3 linked regions of the Alligator mississippiensis genome follow. The protein of the gene in region 1 binds, or shares a complex with, the protein of each later gene. Links are inferred from orthologs where the notes say so. Each region holds a gene or a part of one and is shown in the gene's direction. Other genes may lie near its edges. The genes, in order: AP1G1, AP1S1 and AP1M1.

Region 1 (9,873 bases):
GCATGCCCTAGGAGCAGGCCTGGCCCCAGTGGGGAAAGGACCATGGAATGTCTTGGGAGAAGGGAAGGAGGGCGGCAGACCCCGTTATTGCAGACTGCGGAGCTTCCACTGCCTCCCCACGCGCCGGGCAGAAGAGACCAGCCAGGGGCTGGGCATGAGCTGCCAGCTGCCCCTTCCCTCCGTAGTGTAACAGCAGGAAAAACACTTATTGCTCTGGGAAGCTCAGCATGCCAGTGCCATGGACAAGCTGCGGCCAGCCCATTCGACAGCCTCTCCCTTGCTACCTCAGACTCCTGCCCTCCGCACACCACACCCAGCTCCCTCTCTCAGAAAGGTGACACGGATGCCTTGCAGCCTGGCCTGAGCCACGGAGAGGAGATCCCACTGCTTGCCAGGCCTCAGCGTCCTTCCTGCTCGGGGCCCTGGTGCTGATGCCATGCACGGGTGGCAGCTGGAACCCACCTTCTGGCTACGGGCCTTGGCTGGGGGAGCAGAGCAGCAGCGAGAAGGGTCACGTCCACTACAGCTTCCTGCAGCTAGTTCTAAGCAGCGCCTCCCCCTAGGCACGGGCAGGCAGCGGGCCACGATGGCAAGGGGCAACTGCACCCACTAGCAGCTGGAAGTGCAGAGGCCACCACCCCCTCTGTCCAGAGCCCTGCCCTGTGAGCAGGGGGCACCAAGCAGAGGAGACAGGGGCCAACATCCAACACCAAGGCCCTCACACTACCAGTGTGGGGGGTAGAGGCATTTTGAGCTCAGAGGCCCTCAGAGGGGTCACCTCTGTGCACAATCAGTCCCTGTGCTCACACCTTGCACACAACCACAAGTCTCTGTCCATACCACTACAGCCATGCCATGGTTACATTCTCCCTTGCTTAGTCCCCTGCCTTAGACTGCCGGAAGCCACAGGCCAACTGCCTACCTGTGACACAGCAGGCCTACAAGCTGCAAGCAGAACAGGAGGGACAATGTTTAGGCACAAGCTGGGCACCTGGACCAAATGGTGCAGTACAGGGCAGGCGGCTACCTCTTTGCTGCTGCTGCCCAGGGGACAGGAAGCTCAGGCAAGGTCACTGAGGCTTTAGACCATGGGATTACAAGGACGGGTGGCCTGACCTGGGAAGCTGCAGAGTCAGCACCTGTGCCTGGGCAAGGCCACAGGCATGAAGGCTTGCGATACTCTCCTGATTTTAGGACCAATACGGCAGGGAATGTGACTGCTCGCCTGGGGAGAGGCGGGTGCTGATACTTTGGAAACAACAGAAACCGTGTCCAGGAGTGTTTTGGGGCCCTAGGGCTGGAGGCAGGAGACAGGCATGTGGGAGGGGACATGCTCTGGGCACTGGGCTCCCGTGTACTGTAGAAGCACCAGGGCCAGCTCAGTCTGAGGCACATCAAGGGGGATTTGAGTGAATATTAACAAGCTCCCAGGAACAGCTGCAACCAGTGTTGCAAAACAACATGGGACAGATCAGAGGTTCAGGGGGTGCTGAGCGCCCTGCCCAGGCAGGGTGGTGCCTCCAAGCAGGAGACAAGCCCAGGGTTGAAAACAACAGAGTGGTAACAGAACTAGGGTGAGAGCAGCAGAATCCCAGCAAGGGGATCAGGGCATGTGCCCTCCAAGAGACACCCACCCTCAGCAGCAGGATCTGGACACAGCTGACAACCTGAACACCACACAATGTCTACTCCTGCACAGACAATGCCTGGGTCTTGTCCTTTCTTGACCCCTACACCCATGCCATCCGAGGCAGCTCCATGCAAGGCTGCCGGCATGACTGAGTGCTGCCCGTACAGCGTTATCCCTGAATGATGCCTCAGCTTCAGCCCATGTCCACCTTCCCCATGACTGGTCTCCATTCTGTGGGGTGGCTCGGCACTGGCACCCAGGGAAGAAGCCCCAGCACAGCCGGCACAAAGACACCTATGACATGGCCCAAGGGGTGGCAACGCTACTCTGAACACTCCTGAATGACTGGTGGCAGTGAATGCCTGGCCTAGACGTGGCTCTTCCATGTCTGTAACTTTTCTGGGGACTTCGCCTGGAGGGGGCGAGCAGCCACCGGGCAGACTTCCCTCGGCTGCAGTTTCGTGCTCCCCAGTGGAAGGACAGGTTCTCACGCTCGCTGCTGCTCCAGCTGCCCAGAAGCCTGCCTGCAGCTGAGCCCAGGAATGGGACATCTGAGCCAGAGGGATTTTTCCTTGGAAGCAAGCACATGCGAAGGGAGGTTTGAAATGCAGCCTCGCCGGCTCCTTTGCTATAGCACCTGCCACTAGGAAACACAACCATCGGACTCAGATTCGGTGGCAAGTAATTGCGTTTGGCGTTATCACAGGAACTACCAATACCTCCTGCCACAGCACAGCTGCCTGAGGCCCCTACTTGCCCACACCCCACTCCCCAACCTGGCCCTCCCTCTCTGGTTTCCTTCAACGCTTGCAGGGGTTTTGCTAGCAGAAAGTCCCATGGGACTGAGTGGAGGAGACATGTCAGGGAGAGGCTGTCGGAGAAACACCTGCCCCCACCCCAAGAGCTCAACATGTGACGAAGTGTCCTTTTAAAGTGCATGTGTGAAAAGTGGGGAGGCTGGGAGCGGTGCCCCTGGCCCCCGCAGGGACCCAGCTCCCCACCACCATAGAGAGGAACAAACACTTCCGATACTGTATCTGCTACCTTGGGCTGTGGCTTCCTGGGTCCGCCCCTCCCGCCCCCACCCCCGAGTGCTCCATCCCCGGCCTGCAGGACGCTCAGGCACTCAGGGGCGTGCGAGAGCCCCGAGCTCTGGAATGCTTGTGGCCACACAGCCATGACCACATCCCCCATCCTCCATCCCTAACTCGCCTGTTGCTGCTGCTCCCTGAGGCACTGGAGCCCTCTGGATTCCAGGAGAGGATCTGATCAGTGACTGAACAGGAACCGAACCAGCTCTGCAGGCAGACAGCAGCCTCGCCGGTCAACCCGTCGCTCAGTCTGTGCAAAATCTCCACCTGACAAAGGGGGGCTCAGCCAGGGGCATGACCCAGGTGAGGGCCTCGCAGCGTTACTTCCCGGCATTCGAGCGCCCTTCAATGGACAGCTTCACTTCCTGGGGGATGAAGGAGGGACGGAGCAGGGATGGCCGGGGCTCCTCCCCCTGCGTGGTACATCTTTGGAAGTTGGGGGCTGTCCAGCTGTGCTGGCCACCCGGCTCAGGCTGGGAGGGCTCCGCACAGGCAGCGTGGGCAGCGCTGTCCCTTTCTGCCTGGCTCTTCCTCTCACTGTGCAGAGGTGCAGGGGGGTGCTCTCTGGACCCCTGCACCATTCTGTCAGCTCGCTCCCTGGCAGGCACAAGCTGGGTCGCGGGAGGGCAGGTCGCCTGAGAAGCAGAGTTGCCATTCATGTTCTGCAAGCTGATGGAGATGCAGACATCCCCCACCTGCAGCCTGTGGCAGGGCAGGGCGAAGAGCTGGGCAGTCCGCGCCGGGCTGCAGGAGGACCAGCCCTGGCCATACACGAAGAAGGGGTGCTCTGGGGGCACGTCGATGCTCACTTTGCTCTGCTGCTCCCCCACTACAAAATGCAGCATGACAAACCCAGGCCATTGGCTCTCCTGGATATCAACGACTGTGCTGGAGTCGATCTTCAGGCCCCCGCTCACCTCTGCACTGCGCACAAAGTCCTGGGTCTGCAGATCTTCCACCCGCTTCAGCTCTCCGGTGGCCAGTTGGATGATGGCTCCTTTCATGAAATGGGAAGGCAGATGGGAGGAGCTGGGGGGCTGCACCGGGCCCAAATCCTTGTCCAGCATGTTCCCCCGGGCCAGTGTGTTGGGACTCTGCCGTATCAGGGTCTCTGAGGAGGAAGACCTGATGGGCTCGGACCCGACCGGCACTAAAACCGGCTTGCCGTTGGCTATCGCCATTCCTTTGGTTAGCTGTCTGTATCTGGCTGGCTCCTCGGGGGACATTGCATATGGGCTCCTGGGCTGGCTCTTCTCTGCAGCAGCAGCAGCCGCCTCCATGGGACTCCTCCACAAGTCCCCAGACTCCCCTTGCTGATCAGGGATGTTATGGCAAAGGTTTAAAGGGCTCAGGCCATCCTTCTTCTGGGCTGCCAGAATCGGGTAATCCTGAGAGGCCAACACCCCAACCACCCTCTGTACCTCCAGGTCAGTATCCGGGGTGCTTCTGTGAGCTGGCACAGAGACCTCTGCTCTCAGAGTCTGGTAACCTGAAAGGAACTGTCCATCCAACACGCACTCCACGGCCGCCCCACACAGCTGGGCTTCGGCTTTGCTGCTGGCACAGTCCACAGCCTCGCCAGTCCTCCGCACCACGTGATGCTCTAGATGTCTCTGCCCGCCATTGGCAGACGCTGCGTCCGAATTCAGCTGATTCTCTTGCGCGGGAGGATCCGGGCTTCCAGCGGCAGCAGACATCTCGTACGCAGAGAAGCCCGGGGGCAGCCGGGACATGTGGTAATAAACAGGAAGCCTCCCCTGGGCTATGTCCAAAGGCTGGGCGCCAGCATGGTGCTGGACCTGGCTGGAGGGGGAGAGGGCAGAGGCAGGCTTGCTGAAGGCGTGGGCGGGAGAGGTAGTCGGAGGGGAGGCGGCGGCAGCGGCGGCTTCCTCGGTCAGCAGAGAGGTGTATGGCACGAAGTGGGGCACGTGCGAGGCGCCCAGGCCGGCGGAGGGCGAGAGCAGGGGGCCGGGCAGGAAGCCGGGCGGCACGGCGTAGGGCACGGTGTAGTGCGGGCCCACGAGCTGCAGCGAGGCGGGCGGCAGCTGGGCGTAGTGCAGCGGCGGGTAGGGCACGCCTGCGTGCGGCAGCAGCGACGAGGCCACGCCGAAGGCGGGCGGCAGTGGGCTCATGCTCACCACGGGCGGCGGGAAGGCGGCGGGCGGCACGGCCACCTTGTACAGCAGCCCGTACGGCTCCAGCGGCGGCCCCGCCTCGGCCCCCGGCCCCGGCCCCGCGCCCTCCCCGGCCGGCCCGTAGCGCGAGGGCGGCGGGGGCGGCGCGGGGCTGCGCGCGGCCGCGCCCCGGGCCCAGGCGGGGCCGTCGCCGGGCGGCGCGTGGTTGGCGGCGCCGAGGGGCGGGCGCGCCGCGTCGTGGCTGGCGGCGCCGGGCAGGTCGCGCTTCTTGGGGGGCAGGCACTCCTGGCTCCGCTCGTGCGCCGGCCTCATGCTGCCGCCGGCCCGCGGGCCCCGCCGCTCCGCGCCGCCGCCTGCGCCTCACCTGCGGGGGGAGGGCGGAGGACAGCGTCAGCGCCGCCGCCGCCGAGCCCCCCGGCCCCGGCCCCGACCCCGCTCCCCTCCCCGCCACTCACCCGCCATCGCCCGGCGCCGCCGCCCCGGCCCCCATCGGCCCGGCCCGGCCCGGCCCGACCCGACCCGACCCCTCCCCGCGGCGCGGCGCGCGGCGATGACGTGTAGGCCGCGCGCCGGAAGCGCCTCACCCCGCGGGGGCTGGGGCGCACGGGAATGACGTTTGGCTCTGTGTTGCCATGGCTACCGGGCACCGCCCGGGCCCGGGCCGGCCTGTCGAGCACATCACACAGCGCGCGGCGGCCCGAGCGGGCTCCGCGCAGCGCCGGTGCCCTGGGCTCGTGCCACCTGGCCTAGGCCCGCAGCGCCGCACGGGCTGTCCCGAGGCCGCGGGCAAGGCACGGGGCGCGACGGAAGTGGGCGGCGGGCGACAGGAAGGGGCGGGGCCGGCTGGCGGGCGGAACCTTGGCGCGGGGCCGGGGGGCCCGATCGGACGGGTACAGCCGCGACACCCACGGCCATCAGCGCCTGACGTCATCACTGCCTGCCACGGCGCTGCGCAGCCTCCGCGCACAAGAGAACGCGGCGCTTCCGCCGGGAAAAGGAGTCCCCGGCCCGGCCCTCGCCCGCGCTACGCGCCCGCCGCGCCCGAGGTGAGTGCGCGGGGCGGCCGCGGCGGCTGCGGCGGCGTCCCCAGGGGCGAGCAGGGGCGGGTGCCGAGCGGGCGCCGCCCGAGGGCGCGGATCCCTCCGCCTGCCGTAGCGGTGCTGAGGCCGCCGCGCCGCCATTTTGAACGCCTGGCCCTGCCGCCGCCTCGTCCGCTGCAGGCGCCCGGCCCGGCCCGGTGAGTGCGGCCCCCCCGCCCCGAGCCCCGGTGTTCGCCCCGCCCCGCCCCGTCTCGATCTTCTGCCCCGCCCCGTCCCGCCGCGGCCCCCGCCGGCCCTGCTCTGCTTGGCAGCCGCGCCCGCCTTCCCCGTCCCGTCCTCGGCTTTCCCAGCGCCTCGTGTGCTTCTGCTGCCTTCCCTGTCCCCTCCCGGACAGGTTTTCCCGGCACCAGCAGGAAGCGGACGAAGGTTTTACACGTCTGTCTCGGGGGCGATAGGTATTTCTTCTCGCAGGGGTCCCTCCGGACTGGAGGGTGCCGGCCGCAGCGGGCCATGCGTTCGCCCCGGGGCTCGCATGCGGCGTGCGCGTCCCGCTCCGGCCCGCGCGCGGCGGTCTGCAGGCCGACTGTTCCCGAACAGGCGATTTTGCGCGTGCAGACGGGCGCCTGCGACACGTCCCGAGGGGCGAAGCCGTGGGGCCGCTCGTGTCGCGTTGGCCGGCCGCGGCGAGGGATCCTGGGATGGTGGCACCGTCCCCTCGAGCTTGTCCAGCTCCGCGCGCGTTACAGCGACTGCCGCTTCCTGTTTCGGCTTGCGTTCACTGGCAGGGGAAAAGCCTCTTCGCCGCCGGCAGCGAGCGTGTTTTTCCTGGAGACCGGCTCCGACGTGGCGGCGCTGGTTGTAGCCGTTGTGCGACGCGCGAGGCAGCGGTGTGGAAACGGGTCTCCCGGGGGTGCTGGCGACTTGGGGTGTATGCTTCTTTGCTTACTCCCCGACTTGGCGGTGCCTCTTCCTCCGTGGCGCCCCGGGCCCCAGCACTGCAGCTCACAGCAGTAGAGCAGTTACAGATTTCACTTTTCTATTTAATATATTGCTGCAAAATAACTTGCTTTCTTTTTTGGCTGTGGTGTGTTTCACACTTGGTTTCCCTGGCTTCAGCATCTGTTTTCTCTTGCTACACTGGAAGCTTATTTTATCTGTTTTCAGGGCCTGTTCCTTTCCCCCTGTTGTGTGCACGGTCTTTCTCTCTCTCTCTCTCTCTGCCTGTCTCGCTTCTCGTTATCTGCTTGCATCTGCTCTCTGTGGGGGATTCACTTTACCAGACACCTGAGAGTTCAACTGAGGTGAGAAGTTTTGCTCTCCCAAGTATGAGCAGCATGGACCCCCTCTGCTTCTCCTTTAGGCTGGGAGTTCACCTTCCTACATGGGTGTGATTCCTGGATCTCACATGTATATTCCTCCTGCTAGGTATCTGGTAGGTTTGAGACCTCATCCTAGGATGTACAAGGGAGAAAATGAGCACTTTGCTCTGGCCCTAACAAGAGGCTGGTGGCTGCTGTGGGAATGACTTCTCTGCTAGCCTGTCCTTGTTCTGAACTCCTCTTGGTTTGGAGGGTTTTCTGCTCCAGTGAACAAAGCCAGTGTTGCCTTTCTGCCTACGCCAGCCAAACGGCAAGAGAAGGCAGTCTGATTTTGGAGAGCGCCCTGCACAGGGTCCTGCATAACATCACAGACAGCGAGGGAGGCTGGGAACTTTTCACACGACTCCTTGGCAAAGCTCGGGAGAGCAGCCGGGCCCTAGAGATGGTAGCAGACTTAGGCAGGTGCTGCACTGATTCTTCATGTTTTAGATTTGGAAAGTCACTCTGGACCTTAAGTGGTAGAAGCTTCTTAACACATTTTTGGCACTTAGCAAGGAAAACTTACGTTCCCTTTGAGAGTGGCTGTTTAAGCCCTCTCTGAGGTTTTGGTGATTTCCATAGCCTGAAACTGACCTTCGGTTTCTTACCGTGCTAGGAATAGGCAAACTTGTTTGGAGTGGCCTATTTTAGATCTTTCTCTGATGCTTTCTAGGGCAAAGTGTCTGCTCTACTGTTGTGTCGGCAGCTACATTATTGGATTAGGATTCTTGGTGCTGGTAATTGCAGGACATGTAGCAAATCAAGCTGAGGCTGGTAAGTGGTGAAGAGTCATGGTCACCTGATGAATGTGCCAGACAGTTGTGCTTGAGTTGCTTGTGGGCCCCTCCTTGTGTTACAGGTGGCAGTAATTGGCTCCATGCTTGTAGTTTGGCAGAGGCCACAAGTTGAATGGACTGGGGAAGTTGAAGGCTACATCTGCTCTGAAGGTCATGCTTCCTGGGCTTTGGCTGAGGTCACCTGACAGCATGCAGTGATGCTGCCTAAGCAGTGCACCGTGAGCCCCAGGGTTTCCATCTGGCCTTGAAAAAGGGTTCTTCTCTGCTGGGCTAGAGCAGCAGCCCAGAGGTTCTGGGGTCTGCTCTGGAGCTGAAAAGATGCATCTGTATATCGGAAACCAGAGCTGAGTGTTGATCGTATTAGCAGGAACAGAGGAGAACAGTAAAGGGCAGCATGGTTGTGGTGACTGAGGTGTGGGTACTCTGGCGTTGTAATCCTGCCTGTCTCACTGATTTATGGTGTGGCCTTGGTGATCTCCCTCCGCTCTCCATTGCTTAGCTTCTAAAGGGGTAATATTCACTTGTTCAGCCAACCTGTCCTGATGCAGACACTTGAGCCTTATGCACAGTAAAGATCATAGAGAACAATATTGGTTCCCCCCCTCCACTTTTGGGCCACCTGGAATTGTTTTATCTTCAGAAGACTCTTGCTGCTTCAATTTTTTTTAATGCTGCTGGAGAAGAGTGCTGCTTCCTTTGTGAGGGTGTTAAAGGCCTGGCTTGCAAGAATGCTGTCTTGATATTTAAACTCTCTTCCTGTCCGATACCTTTGTGTAGCCCAAAGCAATATTGACCCTTTTTATTTCCATATTGCTTTCAAACTCCTGTTTCTTTTCTATCTCTCTGGTCTCTTGCTGTTACCACTTCACCATTCAATTTAAATATTTTTTTTTACCTTTCCCAAGGGAGACTAGCTTCTCTGTTTCCAGGTTGAATTTCATGCTGTTGTTTCTGATAACTTTTCTTACTTCTCAGTCCCTTCTTATTTAATTTGCCATTCTGCATGGCCTCCCACCTTTGTTTGTGGTTTACCCTTTGGGGATGAATGTTATGGAAAATGAAGTGAAACGCTGGTGTCTGAAGCGCTCCAGTGGGCTGTCCTCGGGACCTGATATGCTTCTGTTCACAATTATGTTCTTGCCCTGTCTGGATCCATGTGTTACTGCTGCTGTTCAAGCCCATTTGAATTTTTCAGTAGCATTTAGGAAGAAAACTGTCTGTGCTCTCTTACTTCAGTCTAGCCATATTCCACATGGCCCTTTCCTTTAACCCACAAAGGGCTTGATCCTCTGCCATTGAAGCAAATTGGGGAGTTCTAGCATTGGCTTTGAGCTGGCTCTGGCCTGATTCTTCTTGGTGTGAGGAGTGCAGTGTGTTGTATGTAGATCTGAGTGGGGTGATTTACATCACTTGACTTTTAAAATTCATCACTGATTTAAATCATGGTGAGATAATTGATCTTTAGATTTTTTTTTTTAATCTAAAATCTATAATGGACTAAATCATAGAGGCTTTCTTCAGGAGATGCCTGTACTAATAGAGTAATGTGCTTGAATCTGACCAAATTGCTATATGCAAAGAACAAAAACAAAAAAACCCCAACCTCTGCCCCTCTTCAAAAGCTCTAAAAACTAAGCCCCAATCCTCTAAACACTTAAACTGATATGTAGCTTTATACCTATTAACAAGTCCACTGACTTCAGTGCGACTGTTCATGTTCTTAGTGTTTGCAACATTAGAGTAACTCTTATTAAAGACTTTTTAGTGACAAAACCTCTGTCCCTTCCAGACAGGATTGCTTTAGTTAAGTTGTATACAGTTT
Region 2 (9,581 bases), on another chromosome or scaffold:
GGGGGTTGGATGGGGCTGATCCTGCACCGGGGGAAGGCTGGACTGGACATGACCCTGTGCATCTCTATCCATCCCTGTACACCTCCTCCATCTGTCCATCCGTCCATCCATCCATCGCTCCGCCCACCCGTCCATCCACCCATCCATCCCTTGTCCCTATGGGCATCTCCTCATGGCCTGTATTCATCCATCCAGCCCTGCCCCATCTCTCTGTGCCTCTCTCCACCCATCTGTCTGCCTGGTGGGTTATTCCTTCATCCCGGTGTGCCTCACCCACCCACCCACCTGTCCTTACCTCCCTCCGTCCATCCCTCTGTTCACCCACCAATCCATGCATCCATCTACCTGTGCCCCCTTCCATCCGCCTGCCTTCCTGACTGCTCATCCACCCCCACGTGCCCATGTGTCCATCCACCATCCATCTATTGATCCATCCATCCGTCTCTCTACCTGTCCATCCATGTATCCATCTGCTCAACCACTGATCCATCCATCTGCCCATCCAGCCAGCCAGCTACTTACCTACCTACCTCTACATCTATATACCTATCTACCTATCCCTACACATCGACCTACTTAACTTACACCCGTCCACCCATGCATCTCTCTCTCTTTATTTGCATAATACTGCCGTGCCCCGCCCCCCTCCACCCACCCCCACGTGGGCGGAGCGGAGCGGAGCGGCTCCTGCTGGCGGGACTTGGCCACTGCAGCCCGGACTGGGGGGGGGGGGGGGGGGGGGGGGGCATGCGTGTGTGTTCGTGGCAGGCGGAGTGTGTTCGTCTGTGGATCCATGTGCAGAGAGCGTGTGTGTGTGTGTGTGTGTGTCCGGCCGTGGCGGGGGAGGGGGAGCACGGAGAGCAGCATGTCCCCCCCCAGCCCGCGGGTCCACCCAGACCCCCAGCACCAGGAGGGGAAGCCCCCGCCCAGGCCGGGATGTGCAGGCGCCGCTGACTCACCCCCCCCGGCAGAGACCCAGGCATCCGGGACTGCCTCCTCTGTGGCAGACACGTGGGGGGGGGCACACGTGGGCACACACGTGCGCCAGGGTGGGGGGAACCAGGACACCTGGGTCTCGTGTGTGTGTGTGTGTGTGTGTGTGTGTGTGTGTGTGTCCCTAGTAACCTCACTCCGCTTCCCCCGCCCGGCCCCGCCGCGAGTCTCTGCGCTGTCTCCCCGGCTTCCCGTCACACAGACAGACACACACGTGTGTGTGTGTGTGTGTGTGTGTGTGTGTGGCCGCGGCCGCGTAACGGTGACGAGCCGTCCCGGTGTCTGGGCGCAGGTCCCGATCCTGCCCGGAAGCCGGGCCCGTCCCACTGCGGGGCTGGAATCCGCCCCCTCGGCCCGGACGCCTGGGATCCCCGCGGGGGCGGGGGCGCATGCCGGGGGGATCCGTCATGGGGGCGGGGCCGTGAGTCAGCGCCCCCCAGGTCCCGGCCACTGCGGGGGGGCGGGGGGGCAGGACGCCTGGGTTCTTCCCCCCGACCCCGCTCCCCCCTCCGTGACGTCATGGGCCCGCGGGGGGGCGGGGGAAACCCCGGGCGCTATTTGGGGCCGAGGCCCCGCCCGGACGCCTGGGTTCCCTGCCCGGGGGGAAGAGACTCCCGCCCCCCCGCCCGCTAATCCCCTTCTCCCAGGGGGCAACCCAGGCGTCCTGGACCCCGCCGCAGAGCCCTGCGTCCGGACCGGGACCTCCCTACACCGGTGCCCAGGCGGCCGCGACCGCCCCTACAGGGAACTCCGGGGCCCCCGACCCCCCGTCCACGGAACCCGGGCGGGGCGGGCGGGGCGGGCGGGGGCGGCGGTGTCTGGAGCCGCTTCCTGCCCGCGGGCCATAAAGGCAGCGGCGGCGGAGAGCGCGATCCCGATCCCGATCCCGGACCCACTCCGACTCCACGTGACAAGTGAGGGGCCTGGGGCCCGGCGCCTGGGTCATCTGGGGGGGACAAGGGGGCTGGGGCCCGGATGCCTGGGTCATCTGGGGGGGACAAGGGGGCTGAGGCGCGGCGCCTGGGTCATCTGGGGGGGACAAGGGGGCTGGGGCGCAGTGCCTGGGTCATCTGGGGGGGACAAGGGGGCTGGGGCGCAGTGCCTGGGTCATCTGGGGGGGACAAGGGGGCTGGGGCCCGGATGCCTGGGTTCTCTGTGCTCTGGGGTGGGTCTGACCTCCCAGACACCTGGGTCCCACTGGCTTCTCTCTTCCCCAGGATGCAGTGCAGCCTGTGGGCTCTGGTTTGGGGGGCACTGGCACTGGTGGGTGCCCCAGGGCCCGCAGACCCTCTGGTCCTGGCGCTGGATGCGGCCCCCAAGCCAGATGTGGCCCCTGTGCCGGACACAGCACTGGACGTGGCCCACGTGGCGGCGCTGGACACGGCGCTGGGCTTGCGGCTGTTCCAGGCCGTGGTAGCTGCAGCCCCTGGCAATGCGGCACTGTCGCCCACTGGTGCCGCCACCCTCCTGCGTGCCCTGCAGCTCGTGGCCCGTGGGCCAGGCCAGGCCCAGCTCCGCACTGCCGCTGGATATGCCCCTCATGGTATGAGTTGTTACCCCCGGCCTGAGCTCCCCACAGAGCCCAGTTATCTGTCCCAGGGCCCACCCCAGAGCCAGCCGCATCTAGAACCTGTTCTACCCAGGCCTTGATGGCCCACTCCAGAGCCAGCCACATCCCAGCTTCATTATCACTGGCGTTGGCGCTGCATCCAGGCTCTATTTTACCCAGCCCCTGATGCCCCACCCCAGAGTCAGCTGCACTGGAGAGCCCTGTTATACCAAGACATCAACGTCCACCCCAGAGCCAGGTGCATCCCTGCCCTGTTCTAGCTAGCCCCTGATGCTTCACCCTACAGCCAACTGCATAGGGGGGTGTCCTGTGATAACCAGCCAGTGTCCCACCCCAGAGCCAGCTGCATCCTGCCCGTTTTACATAGCCTTAAGCCCCCATCCCCCCAGAGCCAGCCGCCACTAATCTCTCTCCCTCTCTGCAGAGCCGGGTGCGGGGCAGCTGGAGGTGGCACTGGGGGGCGCAGGGGTGGCACTGGCTGCCGGCATCTTTGTGCAGCATGACCTACCGCTGGTGCCTAGCACCACTGTCCTCGCACCCCTGCTACAGCGCGTCGACTTCCGCCACCCCGCAAGTGCCCGGCGCGCCATCAATGCCTGGGCCCGCACCCACACCCATGGTGAGCTGCATGCCTGGGACCTGGTGGGGGGTGGATACCTAGGTCTCCTGGGTGGGGGCAGGGGTGGATGCCTGGGTCCCCTGGATTGGGAGGGTCCTGGACACCTGAGTTCCTTTTGGGTGGGGGCCATGGGTTGCAGCCCGGACACCAGGGTTCTCTTGGGTCCTGGATGCCTGGGTCCCCTGGGTGGGGGTTCCCAGACACCCGAGTCCCACTGACACTGTGTGCCCACAGGCCGGATCGGGGAGCTGGTGGGCGCGGGGGTGCTGGCGGGGGGGGCTGCGCGCCTGGTGCTGGCCAACACTGTCCACGTGAGCAGTGCCTGGGCCCGGCCCTTTGACCCCCGTGCCACGCGGCCCCGCCCCTTCCATGTGCCACACCGTCCCCCCACACTCGTGCCCACCATGGCGCAGGCGGGGCGCTTCCTCCATGGTGAGTACACTTCCCCCCTACCAGACACCTGGGTTCTCTGTGAGGGAGGGGGGTGAGGATGCCTGGGCTCTTCTTCTGGGGGGGTCCCAGAAACCAGGGTTCTCTCCCTATGTGGGGGGGAGGGGGACTAGGAGCCCTTGGCTCTTTTTTTTGGGGGGGGGGGTGTCCCAGACACCTGGGTTTCCTCCCTATGTGGGGGGGGTCCTGGATGCCTGGGTTCCCTCCCCTTGACCCCTGCTCCTTCGCAGGGGAGTTTACGACTGCTGAGGGGCTGGAGTACGAAGTGGTGGAGCTACCCTACGCCAGGGGGGGGCTGAGCCTGCTCCTGGCGGTGCCCCTGGTCCGCGACGCCCCCCTGGCACCACTTGCCCGCACCCTCAGTGCCTCCCTGATCCGTGCCTGGACCCGGGGCCTGAGCCCCCGGCCCCGCCTGCTGCTGCTGCCCAGGTCTGGGGGGTTCAGGGGCCTGGATGCCTGGGTTCTCTGGGGTGGGAGAGGGCTGTCGGGTGACAGTAGGGGAGCCCGGATGCCTGGCTTCTCTGTAGGGGAGCACAGTAGGGGGTGGGAGCAGGGGGTCTGAGACCCAGGCTCCTGGGTTCCCTAGGAGGGGAGGGGGCTGGATCCCACACCCCTGGGTTCCCTGATCACTCTCCCCCCCACAGATTCTCGCTGGAGGCCGAGTGTGACCTGCGCACCCCCTTGCGCGCTCTGGGCATTCGTGACGTCTTTAACCCCCATGCTGCCGACCTCTCCGGCCTGACCCGTGAGTGACCCCTGACCCCCCCAACCCGCAACCCCTGTCCCCTCCCTGATCTGACCCCCCAACTCTCTTCTGCAGTCGATGAGCCGCTGTTCGTGTCCCAGGCTCTGCACAAGGTCAAGTTTGAGGTCATGGAGGGTGGCACCCAGGCGGCCGCTGGCACGGGTAAGAGCACGGGGGAACCTGGACACCTGGGTTGTTAGTGGGGGGAGATGGGGGTCTCCCCTCCCCAACCCGGCCCCTCTGACCCCTATCTCCCCCCAGCCGCCGTGTTCGTGGCCCGCATGGCACCGCCGGAGCTTGCCCTGGATCGGCCCTTCCTCTTCATCCTGCGGCACAATCCCACTGGTACGGCCCGTGGGACCCAGGCGTCTGGGTGACACCCCTGCCCCCCGGGGACCCCCCTAAATGCTGGGAGGGCACAGCTACAATAACCCCCCTGACTCTGCCTTCCTCTCCCTGCAGGTGCTGTCCTCTTTGTGGGGCAGGTCATAGACCCCTGAGTTTTTTGGGGGGGTCTTTTATGCCCCCCCATAATGGACTGGACCCCCTGGATAACTTGGGGGGTTAAGCCCCCCCACCACCAGGATCGATACCTCTGGTCTCCATGGGTCCGGGGTGCTCCCAGAGGCCTACAGGAACTTTCAGCAGCATCTAGTGTCTCAGCTTGAGTTCAGCAAGAGTCAGCGAAGAGTCGGCAGGCCCTGCTGCCGAGGCTTTGGGTGTGGGATATTTCTAGCAGCACTGGGAGGCTGGGTCGGGCTGTCCTGTCCCCCTTACCACTGCCAGGGCCTCCCCCTTGGCCGCAGGAGATGCTGAGTCAGTGGTCCTGGTGGGACTGGACCCAGCCCCCCGCCCCTGAATCAGGGCTGGGATTGCGTGTATTTATAGGGCCCCGAAGCTGGGCCTGTGGGGGCTTTGCTGCCCCTTTTTGGGGGCATTTGAGAATATTTAATGAATAAAGAGAATTCATTATTAAGGGGTCATTACTGTCAGTGCTGGTCTTGGAAATGGGGTGTTGGGGGTCACGAGATTGGGGGGTCAGAGGGTTTGGGGGATCCCGGGGCTGGGGGGGCAGGGGCTTTGGGACTGGGGGGGGCAGGGGTTTGGGTTCGTGGGGTTTGGGAGGCAGGGCTTAGGGTCAGGGGAGCTGGGAGTTTGGGGGCCACGGGGGGCTGGGGGCAAGGGACTGGGCGTTGCTGGGTCGGGGGTCGTAGGGGTTGGGGTCACGGGGTCGGGGCGGAAGTGCCTTGTGGCCCCCCAGCGGTGTGCCCCCCTTGTTGCCATGGAGATAAGCACCCTGTTGCCATAGAGAAGGCCTTTCCCGTTGCCACGGAAACAAATCACTTTTACTCACCCCCACCCTGTTACCATGGAAACAACCCCCTGATTGCCTCGGTTACCATGGAGAACCGCTCCCCACACACACACACACACACACACACACACACACACACACACACACACACACACACACCCCGTTGCCATGGACACGGCGCTCCCGTCCTTTGCTCTGGGGAGGCCACGCCCCTCCCCGCCCGTTGCTAAGGAGACCGGCCCCGCCCCGCCCCATGCCCCCGTTGCCATGGCGCCGCCCCCCCCGAACCCGGAAGCGGCGGCGCATGCGCGGGGGAGCCGGGCCCGGGCGAGCAACCGGCACCGGCGCCCGCGGCCGCGACGGGCGGGGCGGAGCCATGGTGAGAGGGGCGGGGCCTGCGGCACGTGGCGGGGGGGCCCGGACGCCTGGGCTCGCGGGGAGGGGGTTGACGCTTGGGCTTTCTGTGGGGGGTAGCGGGGGGCTGGTAACCCGGATGTGCGTGCGTGTGTGTGCGTGTCCGGGGGGGGGCGGACGCCTGGGGTCTTTTCGTGGGGGCTGGCAGCCGCCGCCCGGGGGGGACCTTTGTCCCTGGGCGTTGCCGCCCCAGCCTGCGCGGAGGGGACTTTGACCCTCCCGGGCCTCCGTCTACGTGTGTCTGGAGCAGCCCGGCCCCCGCCCCACCCCAGAGGCCCCAGGCGTCCGGCCCCCCACTCTGTGTCGGGGGCCCAAGGCGAGCCCAGTCGCCCCCATGACCCCTGCCCCCCGGTGATCCCATTCCCTGCCCAGCTGCGACCCCCATGACCCGCCCCAGAGGCAGTTCATGCTGCTGTTTAGCCCCCAGGGCGTGGGGAGACCCTGCCCGTGACCCCCGCGACCTCTGCCCCCAGATGCGGTTCATGCTGCTGTTCAGCCGGCAGGGAAAGCTGCGGCTGCAGAAGTGGTGCGTGGCGGCCGGCGAGCGCGAGCGGCGCAAGATGGTGCGTGAGCTCATGCAGGTGGTGCTGGCACGCAAGCCCAAGATGTGCAGCTTCCTCGAGTGGCGCGACCTCAAGGTCGTCTACAAACGGTGAGCCCGGGGGCCGGGCAGCCAGGGGGCCCAGCCAGGCAGCGGGGCAACCCAGGTGTCCGGGAGCCACGGCCGGGGCAATGGGGAGCCAGGCATCCGGGAGGCCCAGCTTGGGCAGGGGGGCATCTGGGAGACCCTGCCAAGCAGGAGGGGACCCAGGTGCCCAGGAGACCTGGCGCAGGCAGGTGGGAACTCGGGTGTCCTAGAGGCCCTGCCCCTAGCGTGATCCAGACCCCCTCCAACCCAGCCTGGGGGGCGGGCAGCCTAGGCATCCCGGAGACCCAGCGCAGGCAGGGGGGGACCCAGGAGTCTGGGAGCTGCAGCGGGGGCAGGGGGGACACAGGCATCCTGGAGACCCAGCTCCAGGTAGGGGGGACCAGGCATCTGGCCGCGCCACTGACCCGTGTCCACCCAGGTACGCCAGCCTGTACTTCTGTTGCGCCATCGAGGGGCCGGACAATGAGCTGCTGACGCTGGAGCTGATCCACCGCTACGTGGAGCTGCTGGACAAATACTTCGGCAGCGTGAGTCAGACAGGGGTCAGGAGTCAGGGGGGTCAGGATGAGCTTGTGACCCCAGTGCGAACCCAGGCGTCCAGGGGGGTGGGGGTGGATTTAGTGGAGCTCATACCCGGCAGCTCATTAACTCGGCCTACTTAATCCCTGGCTCAGCCCATATCTAATTGGGATTAACGAGGCCTTGGGGCTGAGCCAGCTAATGCAGCCCAAGCTCTGCCCGGTCAGTCCTCTGCAGGATGCCGTGGTTCTCCGGGGGGGGGCAGGGGCCAGACACCTGGGATCTCTAGGAGGGAAGTGGGGTGACAGCAGCGGGAGCTGGGCCCCGGACACCTGGGTTCTGTGGGAGGGAAGGGGGCTGAGAGGTTGGCAGCCCAGATGCCTGGGTCCCCACTGGCCTGACCCTGCCCCCCCCCCACCGGCAGGTGTGCGAGTTGGACATTATCTTCAACTTCGAGAAGGCCTATTTCATCCTGGATGAGTTCCTCATGGGGGGCGAGATCCAGGACACCTCCAAGAAGAGTGTCCTCAAGGCCATAGAGCAGGCTGACCTGCTGCAGGAGGTGAGGCCCCGGCCAGGTCCTGCCACTGCCCTGCAATGTGTAGCTCCGCCCCCTCTGGCCATGCCCCGCCCCCAAGTTAACTTACTGCAGGCGGTGAGACCCCCAGCGAGGCCTCGCCCCCTCTGGCCTGCTGCATGTGCAGCACCCCTCACCCCGGGCTGACCTGCTCCATTAGCTGAGTACCTCAGGCTGACTTGCTATATGTGGTGACCCCCCACCCACTCCCCAAGTCAGGCCTGCTGCCAAGCCCCGCCTCCTGTCCCCCAGGCTGTACCTGCTGCAGGTGAGCCCCTCTAGGCCACCTGTTGTAGGAGGTGAGATACCCCCCCCCCGGCCTCCCCATTAGGTGCAGCCCAGGGATAGGCTGAGAGCAGGGCCCCCTGGCCCACCAATGCTTCCCCCCAGGCTCTCCCATTGCCCCTTCCCAGGGTGCAAGGGTTTGTTGGGGTCCATCCCCCCCAGTATCCCGGCCATGTCGCAGTGCCGGGGGAGGGGAGCCCCCCCCCCCCGCACAGTGCGGGCTCCTGGCGGCTGGCGCAGGGCATGAGTCACCGGCTCTGCAGCACGATGCAGCATGCTCTGCGGGGGCGACTGGCTGAGCTGCTCTCAAAGTTGGGGGGGGAGGGCAGAGAGAATGCTGCTTCCTGACGGACCCCTCCTCCCAGCCCCACACCACCCCTCTGGCCTGGTGCTGTAGGGGTTAACGCCCCCATCCTGTCTCACCCCATTGGGTTGGTGCTGAATAGGTTAATACCCCCCCACCCCCCCTTCTCCAGCTGAGTCTCCCCTCCACTCGGCAATACAGGGGTTTAGGCCTGGGGAGGGCAGTGCCCCAAGGGTTAACACCTCACATGGGGGGGCTCCCCCAGGACCCAGTGCTGCGGGGAATAAGGCACCTGAAGGGTTAATTCCCCCCCACACCACCACCCCCTTCCCAGCATGCATCACTGTTGGCTGGGTGGGGGGCACTGGCAACCTCCTGCTTCCCTTTCGCAGGCTTCTTATGCGGGGAGGGGGCATGACATGTGCGTGGGGGGGATACACACAACTCTGGTGCACGTGCAGATACGTCTGCACATGCCAAAGCTGGGGGGGGGGGGGCATGGCACACACATGTACACTGAGCCCGTGTTCCTTCCCCCCCCCCCCAGGAGGATGAATCTCCACGCAGCGTGCTGGAGGAGATGGGGCTGGCGTAGCACCCTTGAGGGTCCAGGGGAGCCCAGTCGACCCTCCTGCCCCGGCTTCAACGAGGTCTCTGGGAACTCTTGTGGGGGGCATTGGGAGAGGGACACAATCTTGTGCCCCCCCTCCACTTGCACGGGCCTGAAGACCCTGGGAATAGTGTGGGGGGACCTCCCCCTGCATGGACTGTGTACACAGGTGTTGAGGGGGCACCCTAATCTGCCCCCCCACACCCAGCACTGGGCAGGCTCTAAGCACACGTGTGCAGCGGCACGTGCGTGTAAACCCCCCTCTTCCCTGTAACGCCCCCCTTTGGAATAAAGTGTGTGCGCAGAGCCCTGCCATGCTTGTGACTTTGGGGCGGGGTGGGGTGGGGAGGCATCTGTGTCCCTCTGCCAGGGTCAGGCCCCATATTTGAGGTGGGGTTTGCAGGGAGGTGGATGTCCAACCCCCCTAGAGCTTCATCCTGAAGCCTCCACTTCTGCCTCAGTTTTCCCCTAGTCATCAGCCCCAATTCCCTCTGCCAATTCCCATGCCTCTGCTAGCTCCTCCCCCACCAC
Region 3 (9,093 bases), on another chromosome or scaffold:
TTTTTAAAAGCCACTGTAAACAAAACCAACCCCCCCCCCTCAAAATCAACCCCATATGTGCTAGTAATTAGAGTTTTGATTGTCTCCATTAAAGAGCATTTGAAATTAATTGTTGCAGAGTCATAATTGCTAATTTATAATTAAGTTAAACCAACAAAATAAATGCAACTATCTCATTTCCCCATGAAAACCAAGGATCATGTCTTCAATATATTTATGACATGTTTGCTAAAATGGAAAAGTGTAAATTATACACCCGTTATTTAACAATTTATAATATTTATCTGGTGGGCATAATTTTGAGAAGAATTTGCCCCACTGTTGGTTTTAACAGTGTTAACTAGGCGTTATCTTGATACTCTGATCCCTCTCGGCCTTTCAGGTATAAAACTGAAAACATACTGGGAGGGAGGGAGGGATATAGGAAACTTTCCTTTGTTAGAAGAGGGAAATGCCCTCTGGCTCTGGGTGCAGAGTTGGACACAGACCCGTCGGTTACAGCAGAGGGTTCGATGGGGATGTCAGGAAAAACGTCTTCAGTGTCAAAACAGAGGCAGCGGACCAGACATCTGGGGAACCTGGAGCCTGTCCGCGAGGCTGATGGGCAATGGTCGGAGAGGACCTGTGCGTGCCACGCCTGCGCTCTGCTGTGGGGACTGCCCAGGCTTCAGGGCTTTTCTGGGCCCCATATGGGGCCAGGAGGGAATTTTTCCCTCAGAGGCGGAGAGCCGCTGCAGCCAAGGCTGCGACTCACGGAAAGTCTTGGCCCTCCGCGGGTCAGAAAGGACTTCCCCCCAGGTCTCTGCCGTGTCCCTGGCCCTCTCTCAGGGATCCCTGCAGCTGACTCTGCCTTGCAGCCAGCCGCAGGGCGGTGGCTGCTGTGGGCTGTCGGCCTGCCCGGGGCGGGCACTGGAGGGCCCAGACGGGGTCTGTGGGGGCTGGCCGTGCCCCACAGCTCCTCCTCTCTCCGGGACTGCACCCAGGACGGTCCCCGCGGGGAGCTCTGCGCGCCCGGGGCTGTTGCAGGTCCCGGGAGCCGCGGGCTTCCCGCCGGCCGGCGCCGCGCGCGCGCTCCCTCACTCCGGCTGGGCTGGTTGCCATGGCGCCCCGCCCCGCCGCGCAGCGCAGCCTATCCCGACGCGCCTGGCGGGCGCGGCCCGGAAGTGCTCTCCACCCGTAACCCGGAAGTGCCGCGAACTCGGGGGAGCCATGGCGGAGTACGAGGGCGTCCAGCGCGGCTCGCTGCGGCTCAAGGCGAGCGGCGAGGCCCCGGCGGCGGCCCGGCGGTAAGCACCTCCTCCGGCGAGGGAGGGCGGCGGGGGCGCCCGGCTTCCCGCGCTACTTTTCATGCCGCCGCTCTGGCTCTGTCCCCGCAGGAAGAAGAGGAAGGACAAGGAGAAGAGCAAGATCCGGGACCAAACCGTGAGCAGCAAGAAGCAGGAGGAGGAAAAGAAGCGCGGCCTGGACAAGCGCACGCCCGCGCAGCTCGCCTATGAGAAGATGCAAGAGAAGAGGGTACGGGCCGGGCCGGGCGGCTCCTGCTGCCGGCACCGAGCGGCGGGGCCCGGGTCGGGTGGGTGGGTGGACGGGCGAGTCCGCAGAGCCCCGGCCCGCCCGCACGAGTCCGCGCTCTGCGGGAGTCGGAGCTGCGCACTCGCAGCGGCCCTGACCCAGGTTACTTCCCCGAAAAGATAAAGTGCAGGTTAAAAGGGAGGTGTTTTGTTGCGGTGAAAGGAGCTAGCATGACAGCGACCTGTGTCTGTTTTCACTTTCTCAGCAAATGGAAAGAATCCTGAAGAAGGCTTCCAAGACCCACAAACAAAGAGTTGAGGTGAGGATACGATTAGCCTTGTTCACAGTGTGTGTTCCCTTTGCTGTCTAGTCCAAATTATCCACCTGTCAGGATATGCAATTCAAATAGTTATTGTTCTAATATGTTTGTCTGGAAAAATCTCTTGCCATAAGTAATATGAAAGCTGTAACTTGCATGTTCTGGGCTCTGCTTGCTTTTTTAACAGGAATCAGTGGTGGGTGATTAGCAGGCATCCTGGTTTTCTGTTTAAAAATCAGTTTCTCTGATAAGAGGCAATGTTCTCCAGTTGTAACCTGCAGTCAGCATTTTTCCGTGATTAAAATGAAGTGCTACTATCTATATGGTATCAGTTCAACATCATGTTTTATTGATATATTTACTTTTTAAAGCAATTTGGAGGCCTACCAGTGCCTCAGTCATAAAATAAATTCTAAATACCTATATACTTTAGCATTTGATTTTGTTTTTTTATCATGGAACATCTGAATTCCCCCTGCCCCCTTTGCTCACAAGATGTAGGCCCAGCTGTGGCTGTCCCCTCCACTGCTTTGTAGCACTGAGATGACAGTCCCCGGGCCTTGCTGGTGCACCTCACTCCTGATCTGTTGCCCCCAGCCCCCCAGTGCATAAGGAGGGAGTGGGTATAGGCAGTGTGGTGGGGTGTGGGCATGTGCTGCCCAATTTCTGTGCCCACAGCAGGGCATAGAGTGCAGGGCTGCAGCCTGACCATACCAGCTCTGGGCAGGAGCCACCTATGCAGCCCGGCAGGTGGGACCCAGCATGGGAGAGAGCACCTCACTGCCAAGATGAGGCCCCCTGCCTCCCCAGCAGCAGCAGGGGGCACAAGTCTCTGCCTCTGCTGCTGTTGTGCCTCACCTTGGCAGCCATGGGACTGCATCGCTCCCTCTCGCTCTGGGACCCGCCTGCTGGGCTGTGGAGGGAGGCACCTTCTGCCCAGAGTTGGTCTGGCCCAGCTGAAGCCCTGTCCCTCCGCCTCTGCATCACCTGTACATTTCCCCCACGACTGTTGCCTGTGTCCCCATAGACGTACCTGGCGGGAGATGCTCTCTACCACACTGACTAGCTGATGCATGCATTTCTATGCGCACACATGCATGTGACACCCTGTGTCTTGCTTCCCACAGCCCCTTGCAGGCTGGAACTGTGCCAGCCTGTGAAGGAAACCCATGGCTTCCCAGGTTTTTCCAAAAGCTCTTGGAACCAAAAGTTCTTGCCATCAGATATTGGAATATGTACCAGACTAACTGAGGCATGAATGTAATGAAATGTGATGGATTAGGATAATCTTTACAGAAAGAAAAGTTGATAATAGAGGAACACATCAAACTGGTGGGCTAAGAAAGGTAAATTTGATTGGTATCGTGTATTGTCTTTAAATACAAGAACACAGAATTATTCAGTTAAATTTAAAAGGCTACCAATTGAAAGCTGCTAAAAGGTAACTAACCCATATGGTTAACAGCCACAGGATACAATTAAAGCCTAGAATTCAGTGGGTTTCAAAAAATGGATTAATCATTTTATAATGAGAGGATGTTAGAGATATAAATCCACATGATTCAGATCAAAAGCCAACTGGGCTATCCATTGCATAACTGTCTATTGTACAGCTTTTTGGCACCTTTCTTGGTGGCACCTGGTACAAGATGCTGACTAACGGGATACTGACCTAAATTTTCAACTCATTTAATCTGGAATTACTAAATTTAAAGTAGGCAGAAAGCATGTTCAATATTCCAGAAAGTTGACACACACTTTTTTTTTCTCTCCTAGGATTTTAACAGACACTTGGATACTCTGACTGAACACTATGACATCCCCAAAGTCAGCTGGACTAAATGAATAGCTTTTCTTACTCGGTTCTGGATTATGAGAAGCATTTATATTGGGAGGATTTGCCTAGCGTAAATTTCTGTGATCTCTGCATTGGATACCTAATTCATTTTTTAAAAAACTTTTGCATGCTGGCAGTACTCTTTAAGTGCTTGTTTAGAAATATGTACAGCACACCCCCACCTTTACTGAACAATGAATAAAGGCCCTAATCCTCCATTTATCTGCAGAAGTCCCCTTTTTTAGAGTTTGTAGGAAAACTTCTGGAGAAATTTCATATGTAGGGTGTAACGATCACTGGTTGACAGTGCCTTCTTTTGAAACAAATGTTTTTGACAGTCTTTTTTTAGATGCAGACAAGTTACCTTATTGAATTGTTCCTCCCTGGGTACTATAAACCTGTAATCTGTTTATAACTTTTCTAGAAACTCTAGAAGGTCAAATAAAAACTGCATTTAAAATAATTTTTAAAAAATGTACCTGGTGTAGGGGATGAGGAGGGGATCTTGACAGCACTTTTCCTCTGAGCTAGGCTGTACCTGCTAGCCTGTGTTTGCCGTCTTTAGCGGAACCATAAATGCAGCTCTGAGCACCTTGTAAACGCACGTTGGGGTTGTTCCCTCGCACGTGAACGGTGCCCCTTTCTGAGCCCCCAAATCCTGCTGTGCACTTTGACTTCCTCGCTGGCCCCCGAGCTCGTGTACAGCGCGTGTAAGACGTGGCACAGAAGAAGCGGCAGTGGGAATTCAGTTACTGCTCTCGGCTGTCTGCTGCCTGTGCTGGGCAGGGCCCGCCCGCGGCTCAGCACAACGCAGCGCGGCTTTCTGGGGACAACTGAGCACCGGAGCGGAAGGCTCTGACCCGGCGCCTCTTTGCCGAGCCTTCCCGGCACCGGCACCGCCCCCGCTGGCCGGCCCAGGACCTCACAGCGATGGCGGCGCGCGCGCGTCGCCAACCCCGGAAGAGGGGACGAGGCCCCGCCCCGCGCGCCGGGTCGAGCTTCACAGCTTCCGGCGGGGGCGGAAGCGGGGCTACTTCCGGCCGGAAGTGCGCGGGCGAGGCCGCGGGGGGCAGGAGCCGGCAGCATGTCCGCCAGCGCCGTCTACGTGCTGGACCTGAAGGGGAAGGTAGGCCTGGCTGCGGGCGGCTCCCTGGCGGCCCGGCCGCGCCTCCCCATGTCCTGCCGCCCGGGGCCCGCAGGACAGGCCGGCTTCTCTCGGGCCGCCCCTCCCCTCCCCTCCCCGAGGGCTGGCAGCGGCGCTGCCCGAGGAGCACGGGCCGGTGGGAGCCGCTCCGCTGCGCGCAGGCTTCCCTGAGTCCCAAGGGGCGTGTTTCGCTTCTCTGCCGAGCGGCAGCGCAGGCTCTGTGCTGTCTGACGGCGGGTTTGTGCACGTCTCTAGCTGCCAGGCGTCCGCACACCCTCCTCACGGCGGAGCAGTGCCGTTCTGTCGGTGCAACACTTCTCGGTCCATGTATACAATCTAATTGGAGAGTCGCCCCAAACTTGTTCCCCCACCCACCCAGCTGCAGCAGCAGATGGGGGGGGGGGCAGCCAGCGGGGGTGGACTGGAGCAGCTTGCCTCCTGCTGCCGGTCGTTCACCCCCACCACCCTTAGCCCCCTGCATCCTGATCCCTTTGTGCCTGTCGCCTTCTGGCGAAAGGCTCCCCACAGGCACGCCACCTCACTTCCCACCACCTTGGGGCCCTGTCTTTGCTCCCTTCTGGCCACCCCTCCCTGCTTACCCTGGCTCCAGAGGGCTGCCCCTGCTCCATCCTGGGGCAAGAGCGCCGTGGCCATGCGTGGCGTCCCAGACTGGAGTGGGGACAGCTTGCCACAGCAAAGGCGATTGGGGGGGAAGACAGCAGCTGCAGCTCTGCCCAACCTCCAGTCAGGGTTGCAGCCACAGCAGCTGCCTACTCTTCTCCCTCCATGCCTCCCCCTCACAATAGTTGATCCCAAGATAAGGGTTTTTTTCCCCATGTTAAATGGGAAAAAAATCTTGTCTTGGTATCAAATACAGTGTGTTGTAAATAAAAGATTTCCACAAGCATTTTGTAATTTAAATAACCAAGTGGTTTGTGGTTCCACCATACAAGTATCAATTTTAGTCACTCAAATTAGTTGACCTCCATTTCCAAAGGTCATGTATGTTATTCAGATGACCACTTCAGGTGTGTTGTCCATTTGGTTCTCTATTGTACTCATCCATTGCAGGTCCTCATCTGTCGAAATTACCGTGGAGATGTCGATATGTCAGAGGTTGAGCATTTTATGCCGATCCTTATGGAAAAGGAAGAAGAAGGAACACTTTCCCCCATTCTAGCTCATGGAGGAGTTCGTTTTATGTGGATTAAACATAACAATTTATATCGTATCCTTTGGAGTATAGGCTACTTAATAGGGTGGAAATGTTGACCGTGTGAATTTTCACAATGGAAGTCAGCATGGCGGGGGAGAGGGGGGGAAGGTTTTGCAGAGATAAAAAACAGTTAAGGTCAAATTCCCATTAAATACCCTATGAACCAAAAATATATATGTTTAAGTGCCAGTGCAACCAGTATTTTCTCAATGCTTACCTGTCTTTGCTTTTCAGTAGCTCAGCATTTAGAAATGAAATGGCATACCTAATGAATGGTTTCCTGAGTTTTTGGGTCAGCTACAGTGCCTTAGTAAACGTTTTTGAAAAGGGATTTAAAAATAAAATTAAAAAAATGGGAACTTTGAACAAACATTCCTAAACTTACTTTTTTCAGTTGTTGCAACTTCTAAGAAGAATGCTTGTGTCTCTCTGGTGTTTTCATTCCTCTATAAGGTGGTTCAAGTGAGTACACAATTGATAAAGTACTATTGTTCTTTCAGGGAAGTCATATTGTTGTTTACAGCTTTAGAGGTCTTTGAATTCTTACTGCTGCGTAGAAATAGTACATCTAATTATGCTATGGTTATATTTTGGTGATCCTTTTGCATTAACTACTAATATTTTATTATTGCACATCAGAAGGGCTTTGACAAAAACAAAAATCAATACCTTCCTCATTTCAAAGAGCATATAATCTAAAAGATACCCAGAAAGGAAAATAGGAAGCCCAAAAGGAAAGGTCATCTTTGGGACAACTGCTTTGTATGCACAACTAGCATTGGAAAGATTAGAAAAATGTAGTGGCATGGTGAGCTGAAAAAGGATATAAGGGGCAGGAACAGGGAAGGAAACAAACATAACAGTTACTGTAGAGGAAACCAAAAGTGGGAGATACAGGAATATTGTTGCACAATTACTTGCAGTCAGCCTTGAAAATATGGATGTGACTAGGGGTGCACCGATAAAGACTTTCTTGGCCGGTACCAATAGGGGATTATTCAAGAGGCATATCGGCTGATACCGATCCAATAACCGATTTCCAGGAACACAGCTGGGCAGTGTCAAGAGCAGCTCCCGACAGGTAAGTCTGTGGAGGGAAAGGGACATGGTGGAAGGAAGGGGTTGGGGCAGATCAAAACCCCCACAGTGTGGGAGGCAGCAGGGTAGAGGCTGGGGCTGGAAACACTGCCCAAGCAGGGCAATGAATGGGACCCTGGGGCTGGGGCAGTGAGCAGGATGGAGCTGCAGGCAGCTCATTCAGGGGATGAGCATCTCGGTGCCTAAAAATGGCAGCAGGGGTGCTTGAACTAAAGCTCATTAAATGAGCTTTAGTTCAAGTGCTGCCGCCATCATTTTTAAGTGTGGGGATGCTTTTAGGAGTAGGGTGGAGGTGGGCTAGCTGCTGTGGGCTCAGGGCTTTCTACCCTGCTGCCTTTGCCCCAGGAGCTGTGCACTGGCCATGTGTTCCCTGACCACCTGGCAGCAGGAGGCACAACTTGCCACCCCCACTGCTGGGAGATGGGCAAGGGACATATGGCTAGCGCACAGCTCCCTGGGCAAAGGCAGCAGGGCAGAGAGCCCTGAGTCCATAGCAGGCAGCCCGCCTCCACCCCACATAAAAATCCAGAGGAGCATGTGCCCTCCCATGCCTGAGCATGCATGCAGCAGTGGGGAGCCACCACCTCCTCCCCCACGCACCCTCTGGATGAGCGGCCCACAGCTGTCACACTTCCTGGCCTGGCCCCAGGGTCCCATTCACCATCCTGGCTGGGCAGCCCCTCCAGCCTCTGCCCTACTCCCTCCCTCACCGAGGGAGCCCCAGTCTGCCTTCCCCCATGCCCCTTTCCTCCCCCACACCCCTTCCCCCCCCCCCCCCCCACAGACTTACTGCAGGGTGCTGCTTTCCACACTAACTGCATTCCTGGCCAGGTGCATGCACATAGAGTCTGAGGGCCCCTGCCAGAAGGCATATTATATTTATCAGTTAACATTATTGGCTGCACCAGCCACAAAGAGCCGTTAGCCAATAATGTTAATTTTCCTTTTATCGGTGCTGATCCAATATGGCACCAATATATTGGTGCACCTCTAGATGAGACTTTTAAAATCAATGCCATGTGCAAGTAAAGGCTAGTAGAAAGAGTCAAAATAAGAATGTGATGCTTAGAATGAAAGTCAAGGAAGATGGATTTGTACTTTATTAAAGAGGAAATTTTGTCATTTTCCTATGAATGTGTTTTGGAAAAAAGTAAGCTTTATTTCTTTGACCTTCCTTGGGCATGTGACTTTGAGGTATCTGTCCCTTTGGACTAAGGCTGATACTGATTGTGCTTCATCAGTGTTGTATGAGACAATGTAGTCTCTGTGCCTGGTTGGCTGGTTCTTGGTGAAAGGCATGTTTCCTGGAAGAAGAATGTTTTCCTTTGTAGCTAGGCATCTATCTTGCGTGTTATGGTTCACTTCAGTTTTCAGGGATTGTTAAACTAATTAGCCAAGTCAAATGCATGGAGGCGCATTCTTATTACTAATAAATATGCACATCATTCAGTCTGGAGCATTCCAACTACTATAAAAGAGTTGCTGTGAATTGGGGAAAGCACTCCTCCTCAGTGGGCAGGTTGAAAAAAGGGCTTTTGTGGTGTAATTGTATCATTGTTCCGGCGGCATTGGTTTACTGAAGATTTCTGAAACGCATAAATGTAAGGGACCATTAAGAGCAGCAGAACAGTGGGGAAGACGGTCTGTTAGTTGAGACATGCTCTGTGTGGGACAGAATTGCATTATTTCAGGAATTTTCAGAAGCTGTAGTAATTTATGTCCAAACAAAAAACTGTCTTAAGATGTTAAAATAAAAAGCATTATTCTAAGCAATGAGGCTGAGGGAACTGGGCTTATTCAGTCTGAAGAAGAGAAGACTGAGGCGGGATTTAAAAGCAGCCTTCAACTCCCTGCAGGGGGGGGTGCAAAGAGGGTGAAGCTGGGCTGTTCTCAGTGCGGGCAGATGACAGAACAAGGCGTAATGGGCTCAAGTTGCAGCAAGAGAAGTTGAGGTTAGATATCGGGAA

Evidence for each region.
Region 2: the proteins of AP1G1 (region 1) and AP1S1 are in contact, whole or in part, in a crystal structure (PDB 1W63), measured with the Mus musculus proteins. The link is inferred for Alligator mississippiensis from reciprocal best matches to the Homo sapiens genes AP1G1 and AP1S1. Residues at the interface, in NP_001288140.1 of Mus musculus: Leu7, Arg8, Ile11, Arg12, Arg15, Leu54, Tyr55, His57, Met58, Gly60, Tyr61, Lys78, Phe79, Thr80, Arg83, Ile84, Leu87, Met90, Leu91, Asp94, Glu95, Thr115, Phe117, Leu123, Cys124, Gly127, Cys128, Tyr152, Lys155, Lys156; in NP_031483.1 of Mus musculus: Met1, Leu14, Arg15, Leu16, Gln17, Lys18, Trp19, Leu21, Ala22, Thr23, Asp25, Arg28, Lys29, Arg42, Lys45, Met46, Cys47, Ser48, Phe49, Glu51, Lys56, Gln74, Asp75, Asn76, Glu77, Leu78, Ile79, Leu81, Glu82, Leu83.
Region 3: the proteins of AP1G1 (region 1) and AP1M1 are in contact, whole or in part, in a cryo-EM structure (PDB 7R4H), measured with the Mus musculus proteins. The link is inferred for Alligator mississippiensis from reciprocal best matches to the Homo sapiens genes AP1G1 and AP1M1. Residues at the interface, in NP_001288140.1 of Mus musculus: Arg24, Glu25, Gln28, Lys29, Ala32, Arg35, Ser36, Arg39, Glu40, His64, Phe65, Gln67, Leu68, Gln97, Val99; in NP_031482.1 of Mus musculus: Ser289, Asn318, Asp319, Ala320, Asp321, Ser322, Trp334, Pro336, Glu337, Asn338, Ser339, Gly361, Leu362, Pro363, Ser364, Val365, Glu366, Ala367, Glu368.

What each region holds. Positions count from the first base shown.
Region 1 is NC_081833.1:77,567,401-77,577,273, forward strand, and holds the start of AP1G1 (AP-1 complex subunit gamma-1), read left to right. Parts: upstream 1-5,784; 5' UTR 5,785-5,902; intron 5,903-5,989; exon of another isoform or gene 5,990-6,093; intron 6,094-9,873. Other genes in the region: ATXN1L (ataxin-1-like), read right to left, coding at 3,042-5,168. UniProt on the Homo sapiens protein: Subunit of clathrin-associated adaptor protein complex 1 that plays a role in protein sorting in the late-Golgi/trans-Golgi network (TGN) and/or endosomes.
Region 2 is NC_081838.1:23,553,038-23,562,618, reverse strand, and holds AP1S1 (AP-1 complex subunit sigma-1A), read left to right. Parts: upstream 1-5,966; 5' UTR 5,967-5,996; coding exon 5,997-6,071; intron 6,072-6,579; coding exon 6,580-6,758; intron 6,759-7,173; coding exon 7,174-7,282; intron 7,283-7,698; coding exon 7,699-7,836; intron 7,837-8,987; coding exon 8,988-9,035; 3' UTR 9,036-9,356; downstream 9,357-9,581. Other genes in the region: SERPINE1 (plasminogen activator inhibitor 1), read left to right, coding at 2,212-2,536, 2,988-3,182, 3,417-3,614, 3,863-4,061, 4,277-4,377, 4,453-4,539, 4,639-4,722, 4,840-4,877. UniProt on the Homo sapiens protein: Subunit of clathrin-associated adaptor protein complex 1 that plays a role in protein sorting in the late-Golgi/trans-Golgi network (TGN) and/or endosomes.
Region 3 is NC_081839.1:225,269-234,361, forward strand, and holds the start of AP1M1 (AP-1 complex subunit mu-1), read left to right. Parts: upstream 1-4,687; 5' UTR 4,688-4,752; coding exon 4,753-4,794; intron 4,795-5,719; exon of another isoform or gene 5,720-5,883; coding exon 5,884-6,040; exon of another isoform or gene 6,041-6,422; coding exon 6,423-6,490; exon of another isoform or gene 6,491-6,577; intron 6,578-9,093. Other genes in the region: protein FAM32A, read left to right, coding at 1,210-1,286, 1,377-1,515, 1,778-1,831, 3,608-3,676. UniProt on the Homo sapiens protein: Subunit of clathrin-associated adaptor protein complex 1 that plays a role in protein sorting in the trans-Golgi network (TGN) and endosomes.